Arabidopsis thaliana: one gene and its partners. The protein of the gene in region 3 interacts with the protein of the main gene of each other region in a biochemical or structural test. Each region holds a gene or a part of one and is shown on either strand. Other genes may lie near its edges. The genes, in order: SYP61, VAMP721, SYP121 and SNAP33.

Region 1 (4,588 bases), on a different chromosome or scaffold from region 3:
CCGCAGAGATTCCCCGACGGTTGTCGTCATGTTATAATTTCTTGCACAAGAAATCGTTCCTTGCATTTTCAAGTATGTTTTTAAAGATAGATACCAATTAGGAAAGGAAGGTTTTGTTATATATACATGAAGAAAGAGAGATCAGAGAGGAAAGTCTAGCGTCAACGATGGTTACGTAAGGATGTGCGTCACAGGAAGCTATGGGTGATGGTGCTGTTTACGTCACTGGATTGGAGTGGACTTAGTCATAGGACCGTGTCGTTATATCGTATCACATGTTTCACGCTGACTTTTTGGATCCCACTTTATTCTTTTAATAAATCTGCACGTTTTAATTTTGGTTCCTCTCTACTTTACATAATATTTTACTGCTTTTTTCATATCAATAAAAAATAGGAGAATTCTCAGAATTTATTACTATTATATTTGGGTTGTTTCGAAACTTTCGATAGATGGTTGTATACTTAGAAATATTCGCATGTGACGACCACATAGTGGATGCTTGCTTCTTTCGATCTCGACCATCAAAACGGAATCACCAGACTATATACAACAATTTTGGTAATCTAATACTAAAATTGTAGAAAACACAATTTTGTTTTGGGATTGCTAAATAAATACACTAGAGATGCTAGAGAGACCTAGCCTAAACTTTCGATATTTTCCGTTTTATCATTCAAGTAATTAATATAACATTTAGGTGTAAAGGTTAATAATATATATGACATTATATTCTTAGTGATCAAAAATCTAAACATAAACTTTTAGGAAAAAGACATATACTACTTTCCAAATTAATGTAACACGATCATGTCATATAGTAATGACCATGTTTGGATGAAAGTGGTAATTATGAGACGTGATTAAGTACTCTTGTTGAATCCTTCTTTTAAACCAATACTAAGAATAAGTTTGACATTATTGTCATATTATTTGTACTCGGACTTTCCGAGTAGTAGTGGAGCCTTATTAACTAATAATAATAATACGCATGACAGGAAAAAACTGAGAAGGTCATTTAGAAAGAACCATCGTCGAAGGATGGACGGTGGAAAAGTCGGTAGACGTCAGCACCAAGCCACCAACTAATTTGGTTTGTTTTAATGGAATCATGACGTCTTTCTTCTTTAAAACTCATGTCACCCATTTCTTCCTAAATTTGGACTATTATATGATTATGGGAATTGCATTTCTTTATTAAAGTCACGTGTCATCCTTTAACTTTATAAGTTCTTCAGGTTCCAAACTCCAAAGCCTTTCCAATTTTATCGTTCCACCAAATCCTGAAATGAAAGTTCAACATCCATCATGGTCCCAAAACGTTAAAAATATTTTAAAAAATAGAGTGTGGGGGATTTAAAAATTCATGACCGCTAGTAAAATATACAAATTTTCAACAAAACAAATTGCATGACCGCTTTGTTGGAGATATTATATTTACAGTTGCCTAACGTGAGAAGTTTGCATAACAAAACTAATCACAAACTCACAATATATACCATTCTTCTGTGCACCGGAAATCTATAACACTTAAAATCTTAAATGTGTAAACCCTAAAATTTTACCATACAATTTTTGAATTGAGAAAACAATTATTTGTTTTTGGTTTCTAGGATTAGTAAACAATCATTTATAGTAGCATCGGATTTTTCATGGACTATGAATCTTCTCAATAGACAGACTTAGGTCACGCTTTAACCAACAAAAACTCAGCAAGAGTGGTTTCTTTCTTCTATAACAAATGCCAAATATGCGTTTCAATATAACCATTTTCTATAACAGTTAATAATCAAAATTTTGTAACGTAGAAAATGGTCTTTATTAATACTGTCGTAGATTTGTAATAACTTATTGGGCTCTGTGGTCTCTTATTGGGCTTTATAAGATTCTCCAGTAGCCCAAAAATAAACTTTCAGCGAATCTCAAAGCCAACCGCAGGTGATGCGTTTTGCTATGTAAGAGAGACGAATCTCACGCCGGAATCTCTTTTACTTCACCGTCGTTTGTTCTCCGTCGCGTCACCTTTCGATTAATTCCTTCACAGGTAAGGAAGCTTCTTCAATTTTCCTCTTACATCAATTCTCCTTTCGCATTGATCCTTGTCGTTATCGTCTCTAAACGCAAGCTTTTTCTCCAATGTTTGTGTCGATCTTAAAGCACATAGATTGATAAAGCCGTTCCGGTTCTATTGAATAAAATTCTAACCCTAGATTAGCCAGGATTTAATCGGAATTTCTCTGGATCTAATAGTTTTGTCGAGTTTGATCATTGTGACTTAGGAACTCTAATTTTGCAATCGTAGAATTTGCGCATCTCCAGAACAATCCCTGCCAATGAGATGAAATTTCAAAATTCTGTTTCTGTAACTAACTTTGCATAAGAACTTGTTTCTATAGCTTAATCAGCTGTGTTATTTGGTGTATAGGGTAGCAAAATTTTGTTGATTTCGGGATGTCTTCAGCTCAAGATCCATTCTACATTGTTAAAGAAGAGATTCAGGATTCTGTAAGTTGTTCAGAAATTGCCAGAGATGTTTTTTTGTTTAGATTTTGAAGTACAGTGATTGATGGATGATGCTTTGTTAGATTGATAAGTTGCAATCTACATTCCACAAATGGGAGCGTATCTCTCCCGACATGGGTGATCAAGCACATGTGGCGAAGGAGCTTGTTGCTACTTGTGGAAGCATTGAGTGGCAGGTACTCGTATTTAGTCACGGTTCTATTAATCTCGTCTTTATATATAATTTAGCTGGTGTGGAATAGGATTTGTGTTTGTAAATGGATCTTGTAGGAATGTATTGGCCCTTATTTACATGATTAGAAATTCCAATTGAATATATTCGAGTCCTTTCATGGCTATTGAAGCTGTTTTTACTGATAGGAAGGTAGATGAGCTGGAAAAAGCGATTACTGTTGCAGCAAAAGATCCTTCATGGTATGGCATTGATGAAGCTGAGCTTGAAAAACGGAGGAGATGGACTAGTAATGCTAGGACACAGGTATGTTCTCTAAGTTTGTTATGAATACTGCTTTACATAGTGGCATAAATTTGTTGTTAGTTGACTTGTGCAAGACGATTACGATTTTTTTTATAGGTGCGGAATGTGAAGTCTGGTGTTTTAGCTGGAAAGGTTAGTTCTGGAGCAGGTCATGCAAGTGAAGTGCGTAGAGAACTAATGAGAATGCCAAACTCGGGTGAAGCAAGTAGATATGATCAGTATGGAGGGAGAGACGATGATGGTTTTGTACAGTCAGAATCAGATAGGCAAATGCTGTTGATAAAGTAAAGCTCTCTCTGTGTGTTCTACATTGTTTTGCAGTCTTTTCTTTGCTTCTGAGTTTATAACGATTTTAGACTGAAGATTGTAGCATAGTGTTGTTCAAAAACAGAGTAGTGCCATAACTTAACATCATTTTTTTCACTTCAGGCAACAAGACGAAGAATTGGATGAGCTTAGTAAAAGTGTACAGAGAATTGGAGGAGTGGGGCTCACTATACACGACGAACTCGTTGCACAGGTTAGTAATATGGGAAGATGATTTAACAGTAGGACGTATCAGTAGAGATCAGAAACATCAAGTTTTTGTTATTGTGTGTGTTCAGGAGAGAATAATAGATGAATTGGATACGGAGATGGACAGCACAAAGAACCGTCTTGAATTTGTTCAGGTAAACCCCTTAAAGGTCTTGTTGCTGGTTTGATTGCAGAAAGTAAAAACTGAAAGAATGAAAATGGTATTGTGACAGAAAAAAGTGGGAATGGTAATGAAGAAAGCTGGAGCAAAAGGTCAAATGATGATGATATGTTTCTTGCTCGTCTTGTTCATCATCCTATTCGTTCTTGTCTTCTTGACCTAAAGAACAGAGCCGCGGGATCTTATAGATGGGAGTTTAATGTCTTACATTATCATGTTTGTGGTGAAACAAATGGAATATTTACATAAGGTTGTCTGTTTTTTCTTCTCCTATCCAATCCCACATATAATTTTGAACTTTGGCTGTGTGATCTCTAGAGAACCTGAAATTAAATACTTTCATAGCTTGATCCCATGGCTAAGTTCCTTAAACAATACAAATCAGTCTCATCAAAAGTAAGCCGTCAAAAACTTCCCTATAGAATACACCTTTATTATGCCTTCTTTAAGTTTCCGCAATGTCTCCTTTGCTTCTTCAGTTCTGTAACGAAAAAAAAATTCCGAAAGCAGACTCCATAAGAAACATCTAAAGACAACAAAATGACTCCAAAAATAAAGAACCGGCAAAAATCTAACAATTTGTGGCAACAAACCCGGCTACTGCTCAAAAGACCACCCTTAATAGTTCATAATTGAAGGCAAATGCTTCAACTGATCGATCATCAACGAATCCAAAGGACTCACTCACTATAAGCATGATCTCCGGAAGAATCATTGCCGGATATAATTAGTTGAATAACTGATTTATTGTTGAATCTTTCTGATACTATCGTTAAACTCTTATGACAACGCTTTTTTTTTTTTTTTGTGTGCAAAATGACAACGCTTTAGATTGTAAAATGAATAATGAGTCATTGTATCATTAATAAGAAGAGATTTGGGCTGATAAG
Region 2 (4,419 bases), on a different chromosome or scaffold from region 3:
CGTCGATTGGGTAAGGATATGGCGGCTCCTCAAAGTTTAGGTACTCATCTTCTTCTTCGTAGAAATGAGAATTGGCTTCTAGAAGCTCAAGCTCCTCCGGCAATGGGATATCGAATTCCATTCTCTGATATGATTGACCGTATCGGAATTTTGTTGGGATTTGGTGCTCGGTGAACAAAAGTGAAAATCGGAATCTGGTGTGAGCTTGAGCGGGAATGAGAGTGTTTTAGCGGGAAAGTTTTGGTTGCAGGATCTCAAATTAGGTTTTACGGCCCATTAAATATTCGGCCCACTTAACTAAAATAGCCCAAATATTTATACCATTGTGACTACAGATTGTTGTTTCTTGACAAGATGCTTCTGTATGTACTACTAAACTCTGTATTGGTTGCTCCTACTGATAGCAGAGTAAACACGTATGTTTGAACTCATAAACGACCCGATGGCCGACAAGATCTACTCAAGCGTTGCGGGAGGAGTTTGAACAAAACAACCTTGGTGGTCGGAATATGACGTACGTATATATATGTACTACCATCCCTAGTAACGATATAGAGAGGGCACTACTCTTATCTAAATTTAAAGTAACCAGCACACATCACGCCGTATAATCGTCAATACAATCTCAAATTTTTATCATCACCACCACAATGCAATCTTCAGTCAACAAAATCATTTAATAGTTTCGGATCTCTTGTCAAGTACTGACTGGTTCGCAAGGGATCAATGTCATCAGATGCAAGCAATATAGCAAATGAGTAGCATACATATATGTCTATCTATACAAAACCAATTCAAGCAGAAACATTAGATTGAAGATCGAACAATAAAAGAGAAGGCACTACGATGTACCGAGTGAGAAAGATCTCAGAAGTTTTGAATTTTCTGGGCTTAACACTTAAACCCATGGCAAACTGAGAGCACGATGATGAGAATCAGTGCGATAATGATGGCGAGCACTATGAGTTTTATCTTCATGTTCTGAAGCCACATCTTTCTTCTCATCTGCGTTCCTGTTGTTCTGAAATCTTGTGCCTGTGGCAGTTTGAGTTCAGTTAGACACAAGATATGGTAATAGGATGAGTCAGCTATGAACTCAAAAAGCATGTTCATCTTTGTGTGTGAGTGTAGGCAAATAGATGCAGGAGATAAGGGTATGAGAGAGTCTAACCTGTGAGCGAAGATTTTCGGTTTTGTCCACCAAAAGCTCAATTTTCTCACCACGGTCAAGAACCTGCAAATAATGAGTCGCATATGTAAGCGGTGTTACATTGGTAAACTGGACATTTCCCGTAAGATGTAATGCATTGAATTATTAGTAATTGATTTCACAGTAACTTAGTATGACTAGATGAGCTCTTTCAGATGGGTCAACCATAGATGTAAATATATACATTGAGGACAGAAAGGGTCAGATTCAAACCTTCTCAATGTTTTCCATCATTACACCCTTAACTTCTGACACTTGCGCCTTCACCTTAGCAAGCTTGCTAATCTCATCAGGATGATCCATGCAATACTGCATATGCTCTTTCAGTTTAGAGCTTCAAAGTTACCAAAAAGAGTCAGTCCACGAATATAAAAGAGAAGATCATCCAAATAGAAGAGATAATGAAAAAGTACCCAAACTCCTTATTCAAGCTGTTTGCTTGAGCAGTTGCAGCCTTTCCACCACCATATCGCTTGTTAAAATCTTCTTTTACTCTTTCCAAAAAGGACATGGGAATTTGCCTCCCAGCAGAATCAACCGCAACAACACAATAGGCTGTACAACAGGAACAAAATCAATCTCCTTGTCTTCCCTTACGGGATAATCAGGTGACATTGATTTAATATGAAATTGATATGGCTACAACAACTAAAGGATAGTCACAAAAGCTTACAATAAGACCCCAGATTTTCATTGAAAAATGAAGCCAGCCAAAACCCATGACCTAGGAAACTATACGCAAATAAAGCAACCAGTAAAAACCCTGTCTCAGATCAATGTTGGTGTTCTTCCACATAGTATCAACCAAAGCTACCACGGATTCTGTCCAAATCTGAGTGATTATACAGGTAAGACTCTACAGAGATTTATTGCGTTTAATAAATATAGATCTAACCCTAAAAGCTTGGTTCATGCGGTTCCTCAGTGAAATCAGACTACTCAGGATGCACAAATCCATACGAATCGATAGGTTAGGCAAATAAACCTAGAAACAAATCGAGGTAAGCACCGAATGGTGTAAGATTAAAACCTATGCATAGATCAAACGAAAAGTGACTTACTGAATCCATCTTCGACAAGGTAATTGAAGGTATGACCGTCGCAGTTGTAGGTGAACTTGTTGTTCGAAGACGGAAGCTTCTGGAGGCACTGAGCAGCGATTGAGGTGAAATTACCTTTGAAATCAGTGAACTCAACGAGGATCACCGTGCCGCGAGCTACGAAACTGTAGATCAACGATTGTTGCGCCATTTTTTCTTTACCTTAAATCTCCGATCCAATCGACCGTCTGATCAGAGAATTTTTTGGGCGGTCGCGGAAAAAAACTACAGATCTAGAAGACTATGAAAGAACAAAACGAGGACTAAAGTGGACATGGGAGAAGAAAAAGTTGAAAAGCGGGCAAGGGTAAAGTTGTCATTTAAGGTAGTCAGATTGGGTCAAAAATAGTATAAAACCTTGAATTTAAGGACTAAAAAAAAACAATTTCAAAACGGAGAGATCAAACAAATGTCGAGAAAGTTGGACCCGCCCGGATCCAGCCAAAAAGCTCGTGGACTCTGCCGATGGCACAAATTAGTAATTACCAACTTTAGGACAAGTTCAGGTCCCATGGTCGAAGAGAGTCTGTCTCTGTCTTCCTCAAAATATCTTTTTTTCCAAATTCATCATTGATCAGTGATTCCAGTATTAGCTCAGTTACGAACAAAAGGCTTAAACATAAAAACAAATGTTGTAATTAACCAAATTTCTTAATTCTTAATGGACGGGGGGAGCTCATAGTCATAGTATCTTGTTACAGCAACAAAATTCGAACTTCTACCGTTATCTCTTGTCATCTACAATTGCTCTGCATTGTTTAGAACCTGCTAATTAATTTGTTTAACGTGTTCCTAAAGATTTTGATCAACAATCAAATAATTGAAATTTAGGTAGTTAGGTTGTGGTTAGAATAGAAGGTTAGTGAATTGGAATGAAAGAAAAGGTTTGCAACATTATTTTAATTTTTTTGGTAGGAAGGTTTGCAACATTATCAATTGAACGTTCTTTTAAGTAACATAACATATAATTTATAGAAAATTTAACAACTCAAATATCCCTTACACATCGCAATTTTCTTTATAAAAAATCAATATATAATATATATATATATATATATATTTGTTTTTTAAAATGCTCATTGATAAACATTTCACATTTGAATTGAAAAACGAGCCACCGTGGTGTAAAAACATGAAGATACTATTATTAATTAGACGTGAATTATTTACCAAAATAAAGTTTATTAAGGCAATTTTCGACTATACAAATGATGAATTTTTCTTTTTATTTACTTTTTATATTTAAAAATTCAAAATTTGAACGTTACCAAAGGGAAAATAATGTCTCTGTTACTCGCGCAAATCCAGCGCTCTCATATAGTTTCTCTTCTCCGATCTCTGCGTCCTGCTTTCTCCATCGCTACCCCTCGTTCCCTTGTGTATTTTTACATCGCTTACTAATCTCTCTCATCAATTCGATCGGATTTTTGTGGTGTTCTTAGGTTTCGTTTTTTTATCTTTCTCTCATCTGGATAAAAGGAAGAATGGGACAACAATCGTTGATCTACAGCTTCGTCGCTCGCGGTACGGTGATCCTCGCCGAGTATACCGAGTTCAAGGGCAATTTCACCTCCGTCGCCGCTCAGTGTCTCCAGAAACTTCCGTCCTCGAACAACAAATTTACCTACAATTGCGACGGTCACACTTTCAATTATCTCGCTGATAATGGCTTCAGTAAGTCTCTATCTCCCGATCTGTGTCGATTTTGCTCTGTATTTCTCTGTTTATGCCTTGGTTCATCTGTTTTCTTATGAATGCTTAGTTTCGAAATCAAATGTTCGAGAACAGTGTAGCTTTGAATTTCGTAGGATATTCGTTGCTCTCGATTCTTGTGGCATTGTGTTATATTCAGATTTTCTTCTAATCAATGCCATGTCTTGATTGGATATGCAATCTGTTGTTTTCGTTCTGATTTTAATCAGCTTTATGCATGGCTTCTTTGGAATGTTTATTGTGAAGATTTTTATGTTTGGAAAGCTTTGGTTGTCCAATGCACGAATTTGCTTTAGTTGGAATGTGACAATAAGATTTCTCATTTCCCTCTGTTGTTATGCAGCCTATTGTGTTGTTGTTATTGAATCTGCTGGGAGGCAGATACCAATGGCTTTC
Region 3 (3,949 bases):
CTTGCCTTTTGATGATGGTAAAGTTCCTCACTTGGTCTCTGTAGCTTACAACAACATCTGATGAAATGATGATGATGATGATGATGATGATGATGATGATGATCTTGTTTGTTTTGTTGTTATGTTTTAAGGTAGTGTTTGGAAAACTGGTCTTCTTGTATGATAATGCAAGTTTGTAACCCTTGTACGTATATTGATCTTCTTTACTGTTCTTGAGACTTGAAAACTTCTGTAATCTGAATCAGAATTGGGATTAAAAAAAAAAAAAAAAAAAAGAAAGAAAAGTATCACAGTAGGATCAACATATCAGTCAACTGAAAAGTCAACAAAATGTTAAGAGTACACCCCAGAACAAATCATAGCATCAAAGTCTAGATTTAGTATCATATTCGAACTTGGAAAATGCCAAGACTAATGAAGTTTTTGTGTTATCGGTTGGTATTACCTCGTTTGGTTTGAAATGGCTCATATACTTCAACCAAATAGAACAAGAAACGATAAACCCTGAAATCACATCAAGTAAATATAACCCATATAGCAAACATAGATACAAGAGAATGTTGTACTAATTTTCTCATCTAACCCACATTTTAAATTCTTTCACAAAAACCAAATAAACGGGAGATTAACAACAAACCAGCAGTAGAAAGTAGTAACACAAAGCTGGTTTGATAATAAGGTTTTTCAAAGAAAGAATATATATGCAAATAACGAAACTCAACTTCAACTTCAACTTCAACGCAATAGACGCCTTGCCTGAGGAGGATTTGGTGGTGTCCCTGAATTTGGTTGACTTCCTCCAGTGGTACCCCCACCACCACCACCGCCGCCGCCGCCACTGCTGTTGTTCCACGGTTTTAAAACAGCAAGAACCACAACAGTTATGATGATGATGAGAATAATAATGGCAATACATGTCCATTTTCGCGTGTTCTTCTGGTAAACCCGAGCGGTTTGTAGCTGGTCAGTTCCGCCTCTGATAAAGGAGCTAGCTCGACCCACATGACTCTCGATGTCATCAAGCTGAGCTCCCTGGTGCTCTACCAGCACGGCCATGTCTAGAAACACCTGGTGAAGCTCCCTGAGATTCTTCTCAATGTCTTTAACCGCATCATGCCTTTCTTGAATCTCGTTAATGGTGTCTAACACCCTTCCTCTTCCTTGTTCTTGTATTGCTTTCTGCAAGAATCTCTCACTCTCTCCTGCAACAAAAACAGTATCAATGTCGCACCACCACTCATGTAACAACATGTCTAAGTATCCAGAGATCAATTCCAGCTCTAACAGCTAGGAACTAGCACAACATAAGATATACAAATCCATTTTCATAGTCTAAACGCAAAATCTGAAGTTACTGTTCTTCACAACCACAACACTGTATACTAAGAAGCCTGGAATCAGTGTTCGGAAACCAATTGGTCATCATATGTTAACCTAGATGATGATTCTACTTGAATCTGGAAGTGATTTGAATGGAAGATTAAACTAACCAGTGGAAATCAGTCGATCTAGGGTTCGTTCATCCGGATTCTCGCCGGTGACGGTGAAGTACCTCCTCTGTACAGTTTCTCTATACTCGGACGAGATAAGCTCCCTCAATCGGTTGAAACTATCCATAGAGTCCATCAATTTCTTCCTGAGACCATTGAGGACAGAGGTCCTGGTTCGATCGGAGGAAGAACCAGGTCCACAGCCAGGGAGACTCCGATTAGCAGCATTGGCACGATCTAGCGCCTCGAGTTTAACTTTAATCATCTTCGCCTTCTTCAACGCGACTCCAACGTCACCGTCCATTTTAGACCGGAGATCTTTAACGGCTTTAGCATTGTGAAGCGTCTTGCTCTGCTCGTGACATGAAGAGAGTGTTTCGTTGAGCCGATCTAGCTCCTTTAGCTCTTCTTTCACAGATTCAACATCTTCGAAGAACTTGTCGAGGTTCACACCACCGGTTGATCCCGCGGGATTCGCCATCTGAACTCCGTCGCCACCGCCGGCAACGTCTCGGCGAGGGGATGGTTCTCCGCTGCGGAAGCGAGAGAATGAGCTGGAAAACAAATCGTTCATTTAAAATTCGAAAAATAGAGAAATCTAGAGAGAGATTTCAGATCGGAATGAATCAACGGGAAGACTTAAAGAATGGAAAAATGAGAAGAAGTCGTACAGATTCAAGTAGGCGGTTTTATTGAAAAGTCCAAAAGGAGGATTATGAGGTAAGAGAGGAAGAAGTCAAACAAGTAAGTCTCTATTGGTTGACTTGGAAGCTTCTGAGAAAGTAACAATGGCGGAGAAGGGAAGGTGAAGTTGAAAGCGAAACCGTGTGCCCTTGTCCCGTACGTGTAAGTATATACGGTAACAGATCCCAAAATCATATATAAATTGGAGAAAGAAAAAAACATTCGTAATTTGAATGATTTTTAAAATTTTATTTTGTCGGCTTTGGATACTTTAAGTTTATCATCCAAAGGATACATTAGCCCATACGAAACACTTATTGATAAATTGACTTCAGCAGAAAACATTTAAAAAAACAAAAATGTTACTGTATATCAAATTAATTTACATAATTTAGAATCGTCCATCGAACCAAATTTAAAGAAGCCCACCAAATCCTTGCTTTTCTCCGTTAAAGGGCCAAGCCTAAACCCATAGCCCAGTCTTTGAGCACCGGAAAGCAATTGTAATACTTCGATTGTTCGATTTGTAAGATATACAACATCCTAACAACCATACACCGATATACATAAAGAACAAGTCAAATGTTCAATATGAACAACCATATAAAAATAGAATCACTTTCCTCCCTAATCTATAGGATACCCATATGTTGTATAAATCGTTGATTCCAAGTTTCCTATTTAAAGATCTCAAACAAACAAAAAATATACAACATTTTTGCAAAACTAATTGTTCCTGATTTGAGATATTTTGTCATCAGCTGGTAGGTTAATAAATCAGACATGAAGATCATCCCATTGATGTCCATTGCCTTGGTCATATTCATGACGTCATTTCCGGCTCCCATCAAAGTAGCCGGTGGTGTGGGTAATTGTGAAAAGGACATGCAATGGTGCATAGACAAAACTGAATTCTTTACTCACGGTTACATTTATGAGCGTTGTTGTTATAATATGATAATGAAAAAAAAATGTATGTGTTTGTTTCTCAAGTCCCCCAAGCTAAAGATAGCTGCTCGCAACGTTAACAATGCGTGTGGTCGTGGTGGTCTTCCAAAGGATGCATTCTCTGAGTTCAAGTGTTAAATATATAGATACATAAAAGTAAATAATTAACAACAATAAAGCAAACATATTTTTGATCAGATTTGTACTATGTAGTTTAATGGTTTGTACTTTGTAGTCGTTATGTTTAATAACTTGTCAATTGTCCTTATAGTTTTGATAGAAGTTAGAACACATAATATATAAGAACAATTGTCTAGAGAGACTAATGACTAATTAAACTTTGATTTATCATGTAGCTTAGTTACAAACAACAAGTATTGCTTCAAAAAGTATAATCCTTTTGAGTTCCTCCCAAAAGAGCCACCTCCATTGCCATCCTTTCCACATTAGAGTTTACCAAATTCTAAATTAACAGAGCAAAAGTGAAAAATCAACAAATATATGCGTCGAAAGCCAATTTTTACATAATTTTGTGTCTGCATAATTTAACTCCATTAAAAAAGCATGGAGAAACTTTTAAATAATTTAATTATGACTTTCTAAGTGGGGTCCAGACCATAAAACGCTGCGTTTTAAGTGAAATTATCGGTTCAACCGGCCGGTCCGGTTCTAAGAACATCGGTCGATCTAGTTGCTCCTATATGAACAACAGAAGACCTAAACCCTAACTCCCCCCCTCTCTCTCTCTCTCTGCTCCATTTCTCTCACTTTCTTCACATCTCTGAAGCTCTTCGTCACGCATCTACAATGGCATCGATGATGGTAAG
Region 4 (4,690 bases), on a different chromosome or scaffold from region 3:
CTTCCGCATGAACAAGAATCTCACTGACCCATCGAAGGTGACTGAGGCTTATGCTGAAGCTAAAAAACAGCTTTTTGTTGCTGAGAGAGTGCTCAAGGTTTACTTGGCATATCCTCCCAAGACCAAGAACATCATGGAAGTCAAGCTTCAGTAGATGTATGTTTGTCATTACAATATCCTCCAAAGCTATTTGTTTTTAATGGTCATGTTGGAGCCACTTTATATTCATTGATTGTCGAGTTTGTGGCTTGAGAATATGATTCGGGAACAAGTGGTGTTTGTATGAGATTATTATTTCCTCTATTCATAGTTCTTTCCAACTATGTCAGATTGCTTTGTCTAGTTCTCATTAGTAGTCTTTGTGTTTTATGGCTTCAGACATTATACAAGTGAAGAAGAGGACATTGTGGAATATATCCCTTGGATTGTAGCTGAGGAAGACTAAAGGGAATGAAGAGTTCCTGGTTTTTTTGTTCTTTTGAATAATCTCACATGATTGTGCAGTTGTTGCATAACATATGTTCCAACTTGTCTGGAGTTTCTGTATTCTTATGTCGTATTCTAGCACTGATATTTTTAGGTTATAAATCTGAGATTAAAACTCATAATTTCATCTATTATCAGAATTTCTTGAGAAAGCTTTATGATACAGATAAAAACGATACCAAAGTTGCTTCTGTTTGATCAATAAGTTTTTTGGTTTTTTGTCACAAGATCAAATACAAACACAGATAGCAATAATGTATTTAACATGATAAGAATCTTTCCAGTTTTAAAGAACAACTTCATAGAGAATAAAACAAACGAGGAATGAGTGTAATGAACATATAAACCCTCTGTTCATCTACTTTCCAAGCAAACGGCGACCACGTTGGTTTGATTGTTGCACTCTGAAGTTGAGTTCGTCAACATCATCATGAAGATGGTCAAGTCCTTTGTTCTGCTTCTCGATTTCGCTTCCCATGTCAACAGCCATGTTCTTTAGCTCGCCGAGTATATCACTCAAGTCTGAAAGCCCATCGTCTTGCTTAGCTTTTTCCATCTGTAATAAACCAGTATTAAGTTTAGTGGCGTCCAAAACACATGTTTTTCACTCAGATATATATGCTCATCATTGATGAGTCATCAATGTCTCAAATTGTTAGCATTACAGGACCACAGATAAAGAGTTCATGCATCACTCATATCAGATGCAGGAGTATAGTAATGTTCTTATGAAAGGAAAAATTGAAGAGAGGGAAGAGAAGTCCAAACCTCCACTCTCTGATAAGCATCAGCTGATTCGGGGAGTGGTTCTCGGGTTCTTGATTGTCCTCTGGGTGCTGAGTTCAGTCCCAGTTTTTCCCTTTTCTCTAAGTGGTTAACTCTTCTCGTTGGTGAGTCATCTAAGCAAAAACACAAAATAAAGGATTCAGCAATTAGGTGAAAGTAAAATAGCTGCGAGAAGAATTGAGATATCAATGACCAAGAAGCAAACCTCTGGTTACGACGGGACCATTTATAGGACGAGTCTTCTTTGGTTTCCAAGTCTTTGAAAACATGCCTCCAAGGCTTCCAAGAAGTTTCTCACCCTGAAAACCAAAAATCCAACTAGTTTCAGCATCAAATGTCTACCGTCTTCTTATCTCACACCAACTAATGTCCTCAGAAAAAGATTGAATGTTTCCATTTTATAATCAAGAACCAGAAGGAAGAAAAACTCACACGACTGAGATCATGGTCGATTTCAACGGCTTTATGGTGCGTCCTAGTGATTTGCTCGCCCTGATCGTGTAACATGACCAAAGTTCTGGTAGCATCAGACCTTATATCTTCTGCTACCTTCAAACAACCTTGTACAGATTTCGTAGTCTCTTCAGCCTTGTACACAGCATAACCTTCAAGCTCCTGAACCGACTGGTTTTCAATACCACCAGAATCACGGAAATTGTTCTTGTACTGGTATTTGGAGTTCGAAAACAATGACTGTTTGGATGAACTACTATCTCCTTTCTGAACTCTCTCACCACCAAAAGGGTTTGTCATATCAGCCAAAGAGGGTTCAGAGGTAGTCCTCTTAGAAGGGTTAAGGGTATGTTTGTTGTCAGATTCATCATCTGAATCGAAAGGATTTGGCTTGGAAGACTTGAGGTCGACTGAGTTATGCTTGGGAAGATTTGCCGGTGATTTCCTTAAACCAAACATTGTCTCTCAGGATAATATCACAAAGCTTGTTGCTTCAAACAAAAGGAACACTTGGATTGGTTACTACTAATAAACCTTCCTGCAGAAACCAAAACAGTAATCAGGATTGATGCTTTGATTCTAACTTGTAAGCTAAGAGAAAAGTTGATCAAATCAAAGGTATAGATAAAGTAAAGCAACAAGTCAAAAACGTAGCATCGAATGATTTCACTTCTAAGAACAATTTAAACGATAACATAAGACGAGACCAAAAAGTATAAGTTTTAGTTAATCAATTTTAAACCTAATTTTGGGCATAATTGAGTATATGTAGCGGCTAAAGAACCCAAGACTATGAAAACCACACACAAAATTCGCTTAATTATTTCGATAATTCTCTCTGGAACGAAACAATCGCAGAAGAGGAACGGAACAAATCGAAAGCCCAGGATCTAGCAGACGGAAATTGAGAAGAAAGGAACTGAGAATTTTGAAGCAAAAGATAGAGAGCAGATTGTGGTTACCTGGATGAGCGAAGTGGAGTCCGTGAAGAAGAAGATGGAGAAGATGAAGATTAGGTTCTTAATGAATAGAATAGAAGAGGAAGGAGGACCAAATCAATGCGAAGAAGAAGAAGAAAGGAAGAAAGGATCAAAAAGGGAAAAGATTTAACGCGGAGACGACTCAGAACGACCCAAGAATTTGAGAGTACAACAAGGAGGTCTTTGGGTATGTGTTGACGAAAATTTATCAAGGAGATTAAAAAAAAAACAAATTGTAGAAAGGAACGTGGATCAATTAATAAATAAAACAAAATCATTTAATTCAAATCTAAAACGGTCATATATATAATTCTTTTTTTTTCTAGATCAAACTTCTAAAAAAGTAAAAAGTAACTACTTTCTAACGAAAATAGAGCAATTTAGATCTTTTTAATTGTATATAGGACGTAATTGTGGATATAATAAACGTAGTTGGATTTTTTCTTACAGAGAAAGAGTCATTTTCTTATATTTTTCTAATTTCTGCTTCTTTTTTTGTACTGATGGTTTAGTTGATAAATTGTATGAGCCCAAAAAGAATGGGTAAGTTGTCAATTTTGTCATCCAAAAAGAATGGTCTTTGTTGAATTTGTCAAAGAGAACATATTTTCGCCCAAAACCAAAAACTACTTGAAGATAGAAAATTGTTTGACAATATCTATGGATATGATCATGCCTAATTTATCTCATTAATTTTTATTTGTTACCGGTTACATTGATAACGACTACAACAAAATCTTGATGTCCTAGTAGATACGATATTTCAACATATCATTTTGGTGAAGAACAAGTTGGAATATGTTTTTGCTTAAAGTCAAGTTGGATTAGGTTAGACAACAAATCTACAAGTGTCTTGATTAACAATAAAGACAACAGGTTCTTTTCCTTGACCCATTCATTTATCCCTTTGCATCAACAACAAGGTTACTAGACTCTGCACATACATGATGATACAACAACGCTTCCAGATTTCTTTATTTTCACAAGAAAAAGAAGAACAATAAAAGAGAGAAAAACGGGCCATCAAATAAACTCAGCCTTATTGACCTAGGCTCATTACAGGCCTATCAAATAGAGTCAAATAGTAAGAATCTTCTTGGTCAACGACCACAGCTTTCAACATTCTCTAGAGACTCATGTCAATTTCTCAAGATCTCTACATGTTGCTGAAGGCGTAATTAAACACTTAGAAGCCACATGAAGAAGCAGTTTTTTTTTTTGGTAGGCACATGAAGAAGCAGTTTCACTCTTGTAAAACTCAATTTCCATATATAAACATAATCACAGGGATGAAATCTATATTCCAATTTCCAATCAAATTGGATTATGTACACTTTAAATACATAAGAATTCAAACCTTATAGCTTAAAGGCTTATTTGAGGCATTAACTGTGATTTCAAGTTTAACTCGAACCTTAGCTGGTTTATACAGCAGGAAGAGGAACTAAGCAAGTTGAGGACTTGTTCTTCTCTCTCTTGATCTTAACAAGAAAATGGATATTTGTTAGGTTCCTTCAACAATATCTGATGGCTCAAAAAAAATAAAAAAATTGGAAGATATAAAGAAGCAAGTACCTGTGCTTCTAGATTGGCTATTCTTTGTAATGATGCTTGTTCGATGCATGCACGCCGCTTGCATTCTTCCTCCAATAAACATGTCATTTCATATCTTAATTCAGCCATTTCTTGTGTTAAGTCCTCTGCTTCTTCCTTGGCCTTTAGTTTCTCTTCTTTCAACTCATCCTTAGGCATAACAAAATAATGGTTTAACTAGTTAGAATATGTGTGACGCTGCAAAAAGGCACCAAATTTTTGATTCTACTGTTTTGTTTGGTAACTAATACCTTGAGCTGCTTTACAAGATCTTTGTATTGAAGTATCTGTCTTGCCATATCTTCCATTTTGTCTCTCAGTTTCCCATCCTGGAAAACCTCTAATTTCTTGATGATGTCATGGAAACAATCTGGATTTACAGGCGCTTCACT

The links.
Region 1: the proteins of SYP121 (region 3) and SYP61 form a complex in vitro, tested with the Arabidopsis thaliana proteins (one study listed by BioGRID).
Region 2: the proteins of SYP121 (region 3) and VAMP721 form a complex in vitro, tested with the Arabidopsis thaliana proteins (one study listed by BioGRID).
Region 4: the proteins of SYP121 (region 3) and SNAP33 form a complex in vitro, tested with the Arabidopsis thaliana proteins (2 studies listed by BioGRID).

The regions. Positions count from the first base shown.
Region 1 is NC_003070.9:10,013,982-10,018,569, forward strand, and holds SYP61 (syntaxin of plants 61), read left to right. Parts: upstream 1-1,874; 5' UTR 1,875-2,044; intron 2,045-2,425; 5' UTR 2,426-2,451; coding exon 2,452-2,505; intron 2,506-2,585; coding exon 2,586-2,699; intron 2,700-2,769; exon of another isoform or gene 2,770-2,854; coding exon of another isoform or gene 2,855-2,887; coding exon 2,888-3,001; intron 3,002-3,097; coding exon 3,098-3,285; intron 3,286-3,430; coding exon 3,431-3,521; intron 3,522-3,606; coding exon 3,607-3,672; intron 3,673-3,750; coding exon 3,751-3,861; 3' UTR 3,862-4,066; downstream 4,067-4,588. Other genes in the region: GRX480 (Thioredoxin superfamily protein), read right to left, coding at 1-66. UniProt on the Arabidopsis thaliana protein: Vesicle trafficking protein that functions in the secretory pathway; the fusion of phospholipid vesicles containing SYP61 and VTI12 is triggered by YKT61 and YKT62. Together with VTI12, required for membrane fusion.
Region 2 is NC_003070.9:1,330,966-1,335,384, forward strand, and holds VAMP721 (vesicle-associated membrane protein 721), read right to left. Parts: upstream 2,687-4,419; 5' UTR 2,462-2,686; coding exon 2,272-2,461; exon of another isoform or gene 1,766-2,271; coding exon 1,624-1,765; intron 1,545-1,623; coding exon 1,424-1,544; intron 1,235-1,423; coding exon 1,172-1,234; intron 1,036-1,171; coding exon 892-1,035; 3' UTR 501-891; downstream 1-500. Other genes in the region: CTF18 (P-loop containing nucleoside triphosphate hydrolases superfamily protein), read right to left, coding at 1-121; VAMP726 (vesicle-associated membrane protein 726), read left to right, coding at 3,795-3,984, 4,367-4,419. UniProt on the Arabidopsis thaliana protein: Involved in the targeting and/or fusion of transport vesicles to their target membrane.
Region 3 is NC_003074.8:3,728,805-3,732,753, forward strand, and holds SYP121 (syntaxin of plants 121), read right to left. Parts: upstream 2,448-3,949; 5' UTR 2,065-2,447; coding exon 1,491-2,064; intron 1,203-1,490; coding exon 736-1,202; 3' UTR 501-735; downstream 1-500. Other genes in the region: AT3G11810 (uncharacterized protein), read left to right, coding at 1-61; AT3G11825 (Bifunctional inhibitor/lipid-transfer protein/seed storage 2S albumin superfamily protein), read left to right, coding at 2,958-3,260; AT3G11830 (TCP-1/cpn60 chaperonin family protein), read left to right, coding at 3,930-3,944. UniProt on the Arabidopsis thaliana protein: Vesicle trafficking protein that functions in the secretory pathway. Together with SYP61, regulates the post-Golgi trafficking of the aquaporin PIP2-7 to the plasma membrane, thus modulating cell membrane water permeability.
Region 4 is NC_003076.8:24,621,521-24,626,210, reverse strand, and holds SNAP33 (soluble N-ethylmaleimide-sensitive factor adaptor protein 33), read right to left. Parts: upstream 2,964-4,690; 5' UTR 2,688-2,963; exon of another isoform or gene 2,468-2,687; intron 2,264-2,467; 5' UTR 2,185-2,263; coding exon 1,705-2,184; intron 1,572-1,704; coding exon 1,478-1,571; intron 1,386-1,477; coding exon 1,255-1,385; exon of another isoform or gene 1,043-1,254; coding exon 845-1,042; 3' UTR 580-844; downstream 1-579. Other genes in the region: AT5G61220 (LYR family of Fe/S cluster biogenesis protein), read left to right, coding at 1-154; AT5G61200 (myosin heavy chain-like protein), read right to left, coding at 4,130-4,186, 4,281-4,448, 4,550-4,690. UniProt on the Arabidopsis thaliana protein: t-SNARE involved in diverse vesicle trafficking and membrane fusion processes, including cell plate formation. May function in the secretory pathway.